Linked DNA regions of Macaca fascicularis. The protein of the gene in region 2 purifies or fractionates together with the protein of the main gene of each other region. This does not show direct contact. Links are inferred from orthologs where the notes say so. Each region holds a gene or a part of one and is shown on either strand. Other genes may lie near its edges.

Region 1 (3,500 bases), on a different chromosome or scaffold from region 2:
GCTTTATATGTGTTGTTTCCTTAGAGGCAAGTATACTAATAGCAGCCAGAAGTGACACCTGATGGCAAGGGGAGAAAACACTGTAAGACCAGAGCAGTCTGAACCTTTGTATAAGGCAAGCAGATCTACCTACTCAGCCCAATGTCTGTCCCTGTATTCCAGCACTGCATAGATGAGGACATTAATAATCAAGAAAAGGTTAAATTACATTTCTGCCTTTTTTTTGTTTTATGTATAGTACATTGCAGCATTTTAAGAACAAATATGTAGACATATGTTCAACTTCTCTCTTCCCCCAGCTAAGGAAGTTCATTATAGCATGTAACCTAAGTTATTTTCTAATTTAAGAAATTAGTTTACTATATTCATTTTGTGTACATTTGAAATGTAATTGGATATCTTTTATTGTCATTTTAATAGTATAACTATTTCTGGTAGCCTATATTTTTATGGCTTAAATAGCTCTATAAACTTTAGGGTTTTTTCCAAGTCTGCGGGAGGAAAAACATACTGGTTTCCTAAACCATTTAGATCCAGACAAAATGAATATACTTGCATCTTTTAAAAATACTAAGTTTGTAAAAGTCACTGGAAGAACTGGTATGGCAGCAAATAACTTTTCTTGTTTGGTGACTGACTGTCTTTCCTTGCAAGCTGAGCAAATAGAATGACATGCTACTTTTTGCCAACTAGTTTATTTCCTCTTCACACTCTTCTATTGAAGATCTAGGAAAGAAATATAATGTATACTTAATAACTTTGTGAAATTTTTTTGTGTGTTTTAGACTACAATTAAAAAAGTATACCCCATAAAAATATTGGTAAAATATGTAATATTATAGTTTTTCAAATGTAGGTATACATGTAAGCATATAGCAATGCTCTGTAATTGTGGTTAAAGCTAAATGAAGAGATTATAAATGTGTTTGTTTTCTTCTTTATATTGCTCTACATTTTCCAAATTTTTTTGTATAATTATTAATTTTGTAACCAGAAAAGATTTTTTGTTTGTTTGTTTGTTTGTTTTTTAAAGACAGAGTTTTGCTCTTGTTGCCCAGGCTAGAGTACAATGGCACGATTTCGGCTCACTGCAACCTCCGCCTCCTGGGTTCAAGTGATTCTCCTGCCTCAGCCTCCCAAGTAGCTGGGATTACAGGCTCCTGCCACCACGCCCAGCTATTTTTTTTTGTATTTTTAGTAGAGATGGGGTTTCATCTTGTTGGCCAGGCTGGTCTCAAACTCCTGACCTCAGGTGATCCACCTGCCTCAGCCTCTCAAAATGCGGATTATAGGCATGAGCCACCGCGCCCGACCCAGAAAAGCTTTTAAAATGTTATTTTTATCAATATTGTCATAAGTACTAATTCTAAAAGTTCAACAAAAATAATAGCAAAATTAGCTAATATTACTAAGCCTTTACTAGGTGTCATGGACAGTGCCAAAAACTTTATATGCATTACTTCATTTAATTTTCACTGTAGCTCTAAGGTAGGAATTATCGACTCCCTTACCATTTTCAGAAGAGAACCTGGAGGCATACTTCAGGCCTTCAACTAATCTGCCATACTTCCAGAACTTGGACTTAGGTCTGTATACTTGACAGCCTCCCATAATAACAAATATTAGATTTAAGCAGTCAAGGAGAAAAATTCCAAGTAATCTTGAAATTATAAAAGGGAAAACATCTATCTACTCTTGAACTACCTGAATTTGGAAGCAGATTTGCAAATGTAATTTGATTTCTCTTCTCACTGACTATTCACTCAGATTTTATAGTGGAATTCTTTGCAAATGAAATATTCTTTGTAGGAAATTAGTTTACATTAAAATAGATTTTTTAAATGGTAGACTTATGTTTTGTAGTGACACAATACCATTTTCCCCACAGAATGCAGACTATACCACTGGTCAGGTCTTTGATTTGTCTGAAAAGTTAGAGCAGTCAGAAGCCCAGCTGGGACGAGGGAGTTTCATGCTGGGTTTGGAAACGCATGACAGAAAATCAGAAGACAAACTTGCCAAAGCTACGAGAGACAGGTAAGAGTAAATCTGTAAGATTCTTGTTGCCCCTAACTCTTTTTCTTTCAAAATTTGCAAACAATAGTAGGATTCAGATTCCTTATGGCTCAACTTAGTTACGACTTAGAACGGTACCTGAATATTAACTTCTTGGAAACTTTAGGAGCTGTCAGACACAAGTTTTAACTTTGAAAAATTTAGGATACATCAGGTAAGAACATTAAAAGGCTTAAATCAAAGATCTAAGCAGTGTTATGGAACACTCCCAGTCACCTTTTCTAAGTTCAACTAGAAAGTGTAACAAAACCAGCCCTTCAGTGGATCTTTAAAGTGTGTGTGTGTGTGTGTGTGTGTGTGTGTGTGTGTGTAAGTAACTAGGATTTCTTTTTTTTGAGACAGAGTCTTGCTCTGTCACCCAGGCTGGAGTACAGTGGTACAATGGTGTGATCTTGGCTCACTGCAACCTCCGCCTACTGGATGCAAGCAATTCTCCTGCCTCAGCCTCCTAGGTAACTGGGAATATAGGCACCCACCATCATGCTTGGCTAATTTTTTTGTATTTTTTGTAGAGATGGGGTTTCACCATGTTGGCCAGGCTGGTCTTGAACTCCTGACCTCAGGTGATCCACCCACCTGGGCCTCCCAAAGTGCTGGGATTACAGGCACGAACCACCGCGCCCAGCCAAAATTAGGATTTCTTAAATTTATAATATTTTAATATTCAATAAAGCTTTAAATCCTAAGATATTACGGAAGTGATTGTCTCTCTCTCAAATTGTGCTTCTAAAACAGTAATTTAGTATCCCAAATTTTACTACCAAAGATTTTATTAGGAACAAATTTGGGATATGTTCTCTAATAACTTATGAAATAATTATGTGGACCTTCAGATATATAGGCTATACAAAGTTGCATAGATTAACAACATTTACTTTCACAGAAATTTGAATTTTAGGCTGGGCACAGTGGCTCACACCTGTAATCCCAGCACTTTGGGAGGCCAAGGCGGGCAGATCACCTGAGGTCAGGAGTTCAAGACCAGCCTGGCCAACATGGTAAAAGCCCGTCTCTACTAAAAATACAAAAATTAGCCAGGCGTGGTGGCGGGCGCCTGTAATCCCAGCTACTCGGGAGGCCGTGGCAGGAGCATCGCCTCAACCCAGGAGGTGGAGATTGCAGTGAGCCAAGATGGCGCCATTTCACTCCAGCCTGGCCAACAAGAGTGAACCTCTGTCTCAAAAAAAGAAAGAAAGAAAAGAAATTTGAATTGTAATGCAATAATTAGGGGCAGAAAGGAAGGGAGAACTACATTGACTTCTATACACACTTACATGTTGGTATCTATTTTAAGAACTGGTTTGGTTTATAGGGAAAAGAGGAGAAAAGGGTCCCTGAAGTGTATCCTGGGATTGGAGGTCATTTTGGGTTAGCCTTATTTCACTGCCATCTACTCAGTGGGTTTTTAGAAGGTAGAGCTAGTG
Region 2 (3,500 bases):
GGCCAGGAGGTACAACGGTGGTCCCCAAGTGCGAAGCCAGGAAGGCAAGGTGGTCTCCAGTGGCCTGTGCAGGTCATGAAGATCTCCATCTCGAATTCCTGAGCCTTGGAGTCCATCAAAAGCATGTAACCAGGTCGGGCGTGGTGGCTCAAGTCTGTAATCCCAGCACTTTGGGAGGCCAAGGTGGGCAGATCATGAGGTCAGGAGTTTGAGATCAGCCTGACCAACATGGTGAAACCCCGTCTCTACTAAAAATACAAAAATTATCCGGGTGCCTGCAATCTCAGCTACTCAGGAGGCTGAGGCAGGAGAATCGCTTGAACCTGAGAGATGGAGGTTGCAGTGAGCCGAGATTGCACCATTGCACTCCGGCCTGGGCAACACAGCAAGACTTCGTTGCAAAAAAAAAAAAAAAAAAAAAAAAAAAAAGGTACACAACCAAAGAATCCTTTTCACTTTTGTTCACATCAGATTAGGCTCATATGGGCAACAAAGCAGTCCCCAGGCAGGGCCAACAAATCACTTGGTCTTCAGTGAACTTCCCCTGCCTGGGGTCTCGGTATGAGGACCTCTTCAGCAGAACCCTTTCACCTGGCAGGTCTCTGGGCCACGAGACCCTGTGGCCTGAGAAAGTTCATGATCCCCTACCTTTCCAGCCATGTCTGATGCCATCAGGTATTGCTCATCTTGGAGGATCCGCACAGAGGTCACTGCTGAGTCATGAAACAGGCGGGTGGCCTTCCATCCCTTGCCTTGATTTCCACAACGCAGATCAATGGCAAAGATTTCCCCAGAGCGGCAGCCATTAAACAGCAGAGGAACCTGTGGAAAGAGGGCCTGCTCGGTCCTGGCTACCATGACCTCCCTCTGAGGCTGGGCGGGGCAGGTCCTCCTGCTATAACCCCTCTTCCAGCCTCTGGGTTGGATGGTGTGATCAGACACGTGCTGGTCAGGGTTTGGGTCTCAATGGAGTTGGAAGGGAGGATGATTCCTTGTTAGTGGCTAGAAGAACCAGACCCCACGTGTCCTCCTCATGGGCAGCATAGAGGTCCTAGGAGCTGCCTGCTCCCCGCCCCCCCACGCACTGCCGCCTTTGGCCTTTCTCTCTGAAGTCCCAGAGATAGCACCCCATCTCTACCAAAGGCGGGTCAGCAGGTTCATTCACTTTTAAGGAAAGATGGTATTTTCTAGAGAAAAGTCCTTAAAATATAGTTATGACCACTTTTTTTTGAGACAGAGCCTTGCCCTGTCGCCCAGGCTAGAGTGCAGTGGTGCCATCTCGGCTCACTGCAACCTCCGCCTCCCGGGTTCAGGTGATTCTCCTGCCTCAGCCTCCTGAGCAGCTGGGATTACAGGCGCCTGGCACCACACCCAGCTAATTTTTGTATTTTTAGTAGAGAAGAGGTTTCACTATCTTGGCTAGGCTGGTTTCAAACTCCTGACCTCGTGATCTACCCATCTCGGCCTCCCAAAGTGCTGGGATTACAGCCATGAGCCACTGCACCTGGCCTGATTTTTTTTTTTTTTTAAACTGACTTGAATTTATCAAGCTTAAATTCTTTTTTTTTTTTGAGATGGAGTCTCACTCTGTTGCCCAGGCTGGAGTGCAGTGGTGCGATATCGGCTCACTGCAAGCTCTGCCTCCCAGGTTCACGCCATTCTCCTGTCTCAGCCTGCCGTGTAGGTGGGACTACAGGCGCCCGCCACCACACCTGGCTAATTTTTGTATTTTTAGTAGAGATGGAGTTTCACTGTGTTAGCCAGGATGGTCTCGATCTCCTGACCTCGTGATCCATCCGTCTCGGCCTCCCAAAGTGCTGGGATTACAGGCGTGAGCCACCGTGCCCGGCCCTGATTTTTTAAATATATAAAACATATAACCTGAGAGCTGTGAAGAATTGGTGTTTAGCTTATACATTTTAAAGATGGTTTGTCCTGCTGGGTAACTCCAAGTACCCAAGAACTGCTCACAATTCCTTTCCATGAGAGGTTGTTTAGAGCAACTCAGGCAAGCCTTTCTGGATCAACCAACTTTCACTCAGTTCAGACACGCTTACAAAGGAACCCACTGAGCCTTTCTGATGCTCTTTCTCCCCTGTCAAAGACGACTAGATGGCACACAGAGGAGTCCAATTTCAATCTGGCCAAATTTCTGCACGGGGCAAACTTTATATTCTGCCTGTCCCAATCCAACTAACCATGAGAGCAAACTGCTGGGCCAAGACATCACTGTTGGTCCCAAAGGACTGCCGGTGTCCCGTCACCACGTTGGTCAACAGGACCCGCCGAGACAAGCCTGGCGGAGACAGAGATAGGCTGGTGAGATTATGTCACATGTAGTCTGGGGAGAGGGACAGCTACAGGGGTTTTAAGGTCTGTTAAGGCCTCTTCTCTGGGCACCTGGGGAGCCAGGCTCACCTGTACTGAAGCAGTTATTTGCTTGGATATTCAGGGACCAGGCACAGGACCAGGCACCAGGGATCCGGAAACTGCAGAGCATGCCAGGCCGGTCTATTCCTGCTAAGGGGATAGGAGAATGTAAATTGTGGCTGCCCTCTAGCCAGGCCAGGGACCACTGGGTTCAGAAAACATCTAAATATGCCCATAGCTGCTCAGAGGGTCTATACCTTTGGCCCCATTCTGGGTTTTGTGGTTGCAAGAGAGAGGCTCAGCTGGGATGCCTGGCTCACAAGTGGTTATTCTGAAAATGCATGTATGTTAACATTCCCAGTAGTCACGTTTATAGTACTGATATCAAGGAGGTAGTGTACTGTCAGAGGTAAGGTGGCTCCGATCCTCGATCACCTACCAGCTATGTGATCTCAGGCAAGTGTGTGTGTATATACATACGCACACACAGACACACACACACACACATAAAGATATATATAGATATACGTATTTTTAAGACAGGGTCTTGTTCTTTTGCCCAGTCTGGAGTGCAGTGGCATGATCATGGCTCAATGCATCCTCAACTTCCCAGGCTCAAGAAATCCTCCCATCTCAGCCTCCCAAGTAGCTGGGACCACAGGTGTGAGTCACCACACATGGCTTATTATTTATTTTTTGTAGAGATTGGAGTCTTGCTATGTTGCTCAGGCTGGTCTCGAACTCCTGGGCTCAAATGATTATCCTGCCTTGGCCTCCCAAAGTGTTGGGATTACAGGCATGAGTCACCATGCTTTGATAAAATATTTTTTAAAATAAACTTTTGCATTGATAGAACGTACACATTGGAAGGATACAGTTCAGGGAGTTATTACAAACTAAATATAGCCACGTACCCGCCAATCAGGTTGAGAAACAGAACAATCCAGGCCGGGCGCGGTGGCTCACGCCTGTAATCCCAGCACTTTGGCAGGCCAAGGCGGGTGGATCACCTGAGGTCAGGAGTTCGAGACCAGCCTCACCAACATGGAGAAATCCCATCTCTACTAAAAGTACAAAAATAGCCAGGTGTGGTAGAACATGCCTGTAATCCCATCTACTCGGGAGGCTGA
Region 3 (3,500 bases), on a different chromosome or scaffold from region 2:
TTTGTACTGAAGAGGATAAATAGAAACGTGTTTGTTGTAATTACTTCATGGTAACTGAGGTGATATTCACAGTAGAAAAAAAACCATTGGTGAAATATAAGTATATTTGACCTACTTTAGGATTTATTTTTAACAAACACCCAGAGTAACACAAAAATAAAAATAAAATGTATTGAACTGAAGTCAGTACAAGAAGAGCTATAGTGGGAACAGGGCTTTCCCCAGCATCTTATCATTTGGTGATTTGCATGTTCAGAGCTTGCAGTGGGGAGAGAGGAGAAGTGATAATGTAGCTGGATAAAGCCTTTGGGGACACTGGGGATAGAAAGCTAGATCCACAGTTTTGAAGATGTAGGTAGAAAGTAGTTTTGAAATGTTTAAGAACATAGGTGATAGTGATGGCAAGTTAGATTTTCCTCTTTTGGGGTTTTAGTAGTGACTTCTTTACCCCACAATGTTGCTAAGGTGGGAAGTGGAAGTGAAAGAATTAAGAAAAAATCAGGGTCAGTAAGATTATGAATTCTATAGTAGCTACCGAATGGGGCTTATCTGCTTTGCCCTTTTCCCCTCTTTTTCCTTCCCTACTCCAGGCCACTCCCTGCAGACAGGCAGTGGAGCAAGCGAAAAACTGGAGACTTGGGCTGGCTGGTGGGGTGAGGAATGGGGATTGCTGCAAGATGTTTAAGCCATGTAGGGGTATTCAAAGGTGGGGACTGCAGGTGGTATTGGGGAAAAGAGTGGAGGAGAGATCCTATAACAGCCCAGCTGTATGTGAGAAATTATTTAAGTTGATAATGCCTGTAATGAGGTCATGTGATCCTTGTATGCCTTTGTATCAAAATGTTAACCTCTGTACTTGCCTAATGCATTTTGTGTAGGCTTCATTTAAAGTCCTCTTAATAATTGCCTTTTATTTTAAGGATGGTCAGTGTTTGCATATAATTTCATAACGGGGAACTTCTTAAATAGGTTATTATGATACGAAATGTATGCAGTTTTAAGATCTCAGTGTGTGTTTTGATCTTACAGTATATGCAGAATCAGAATGTTCCGGGAAATATTGAATTAACTGTGAATATCCTGACAATGGGCTATTGGCCAACATATGTGCCTATGGAAGTTCATTTACCACCAGAGGTAAGAGTTACTGTTTAGAACCTGAGTTATAGGCATAGAAATCATAACATTTCCATTTTGCTTATCATTTAAAAATAGATACTTAGAAAAAAATAGAGACCCAGGGCCTCACTGTATTGCTCAGGCTGGTCTTGAACTCTTGGGCTCAAGTGATCCCCCCTGCCTCAACCTTCCAAAGTACTGGGATTACAGGTGTGAGTCACCAGGCCTGGCATAGATACTTTTAAAAGTGAATGTCAGTAAACACACCAACACCAAATACCAACTGCTTTAATATTTTACTTTTGTACTTCTAAGTCCAGTTAAGAGCCTAGCTAATAATGCCAAAGTTCTGGGTTCAGGATCAATTTCCCTGGCTCTTCTTCCATCTTCACAGATTATACCCCTCATTCTACCTAGTTATTAAGAATTCTTGCACATATTTCACCCATAGGTGGGATTGCTAAATGATGGGTGCTTGATTAAATCTATCCTGACTCCTGGGAAACTGTCTAGCCCAGGACTGAAGTCCATAAAAGGGATTAAGGCTAGACAGCTAGATATTGAGAATCCTCCATGGAGATGGTTATGAAGGCCCAGGGAGTAGATCTGTCTCAAAGAGGAAGAAAAAACAGCAGAGGCAGAACTTTAGAAAAGGCTCACATTTGGCAGATGGTAGAAAGAGGAACCTGTGAAGGAAACCAGTGCAGAAGCAACAGTGAGATAAAGGAACCAGCATAGTATAGAGGCACAAAAGCTGCTGCAGGTCAGTGTTTCAAAAGAGTGGATGATTAAATGGTTCAGATAGAGCAAAGGGTATAAATCCTAATAAATCCCATTTGATTTGGTGGTTGGGAGATCATTATTTTTCATCAAAGTGATTGGTGGACCTACTGGATACAGTCTTAAAATTTTCCAGAAATTATATCACATGAGGTAAGTATAAAAAGTGGTAAATGTAGTATTGGGTATAGAGCTTAAATAAAGCCTTATTTTATTTACTTTAGATGGTAAAACTTCAGGAGATTTTCAAGACATTTTACCTAGGCAAACATAGTGGCAGGAAACTTCAGTGGCAGTCAACCCTAGGACACTGTGTGCTTAAAGCAGAATTTAAAGAGGTAAGTGGATGTTCCCAAAACTTTTAGTTTTCATCTTTGTCTTTAATATTTAGGTCATCTTTCTTAACTAAAAGGTTAGGCTATTGTTTTGTGTTTTTTTTTTTTTCAGACAGAGTCTCACTCTGTCTCAGGGTGGAGTGCAGTGGCGCTATCTTGGCTCACCGCAACCTCCGCCTCCCAGGTTCAAGTGATTCTCCTGCCTCAGCCTCCCGAGTGGCTGGGACTACAGGCGTGCGCCACCATGCCCAGCTAATTTTTTTATATTTTTAGTAGAGACGGGGTTTCACCATGTTGGCCAGGATGGTCTCTATCTCTTGACCTTGTGATCCACCTGCCTCAGCCTCCCAAAGTGCTGGGATTATAGGCATGAGCCACCGCGTTTGGCCAGTTTAAGCTATTGTTTTATAATTGTATCCTAGATATCCGCATGACGACAGTGAGAGCTTGTCATAGCTTTATGTATTTTTAAGTAATTTTAGCTGTGTGGTCTTTCCACAATTGATTTGGCCCTTTTGCAAAACGAAAAGCAATGAACTTTTCCCCTACTCTTTCCTCACCTGTAGATGAAAACTTTACACTGCCACTTCCTATTTTTATTTATTTATTTACTTTTAGAGACAGGGTCCCACTCTTGTCACCCAGGCAGGAGTACAGTGGCACAATCACAGTTCACTGTAACCTCAAACTTATGGGCTCAAGCTATCTTCCTGCCTCCGCTTCCTAAAGTGCTGGGATTACAGGCATGAGCAACTACACCCAGCCTAACACTGCCACTTCTTGACAGAAATTTTGTTGCTGGGAGCTACGAATAGAGTGGGAGTTAAGGGGAACAGTGTGCAATATCTAATCTCAAAAAACTTTAGCTTTTCATGACTAATCTGAGCCAAACAAATAAAAAATACATTTGAAATAGTGATTTCTTGCTGCTTGTGATGAAGATCTAGAATGACACATAAGGCTGATTAATTTTCATTACTTTATTCTATTTATAAGGCTTAAAAAAAACTGTTAAAAGGTCAGCTAATCCTTCCCCCTGTTTTAGGTAGGGTCACACCTAAACCCCACACTGAAATACTGTATTACTACGTCAAGTGGCTTTGCTGGATAATGCTAATCATGTTTCTAAATCTACTAATTGAAAAATGCTTTTCCTGTAAGAGATGATTTGATTAATTTTTCATGTGTTTTTAAAAAAGTAATGGCTAAACACTTTTATTTCTTCAACAGGGTAAAAAAGAACTCCAGGTCTCTCTTTTTCAAACA

Evidence for each region. Proteins that work in one complex are often made in the same cells at the same time.
Region 1: the proteins of DCAF4 (region 2) and COPS5 purify together in Homo sapiens (affinity purification with mass spectrometry; 4 studies listed by BioGRID and IntAct, counting the BioPlex papers as one, with this or other methods). This does not show direct contact. The link is inferred for Macaca fascicularis from reciprocal best matches to the Homo sapiens genes DCAF4 and COPS5.
Region 3: the proteins of DCAF4 (region 2) and CUL4B purify together in Homo sapiens (affinity purification with mass spectrometry; 9 studies listed by BioGRID and IntAct, counting the BioPlex papers as one, with this or other methods). This does not show direct contact. The link is inferred for Macaca fascicularis from reciprocal best matches to the Homo sapiens genes DCAF4 and CUL4B.

Annotation. Positions count from the first base shown.
Region 1 is NC_088382.1:77,031,989-77,035,488, reverse strand, and holds part of COPS5 (COP9 signalosome complex subunit 5), read left to right. Parts: intron 1-24; exon of another isoform or gene 25-198; intron 199-1,888; coding exon 1,889-2,037; intron 2,038-3,500. UniProt on the Homo sapiens protein: Probable protease subunit of the COP9 signalosome complex (CSN), a complex involved in various cellular and developmental processes.
Region 2 is NC_088381.1:140,826,759-140,830,258, reverse strand, and holds part of DCAF4 (DDB1- and CUL4-associated factor 4), read right to left. Parts: exon of another isoform or gene 2,628-3,500; intron 2,521-2,627; coding exon 2,419-2,520; intron 2,297-2,418; coding exon 2,199-2,296; intron 823-2,198; coding exon 649-822; intron 1-648. UniProt on the Homo sapiens protein: May function as a substrate receptor for CUL4-DDB1 E3 ubiquitin-protein ligase complex.
Region 3 is NC_088395.1:126,811,059-126,814,558, reverse strand, and holds part of CUL4B (cullin-4B), read left to right. Parts: intron 1-1,029; coding exon 1,030-1,137; intron 1,138-2,123; coding exon 2,124-2,237; intron 2,238-3,464; coding exon 3,465-3,500.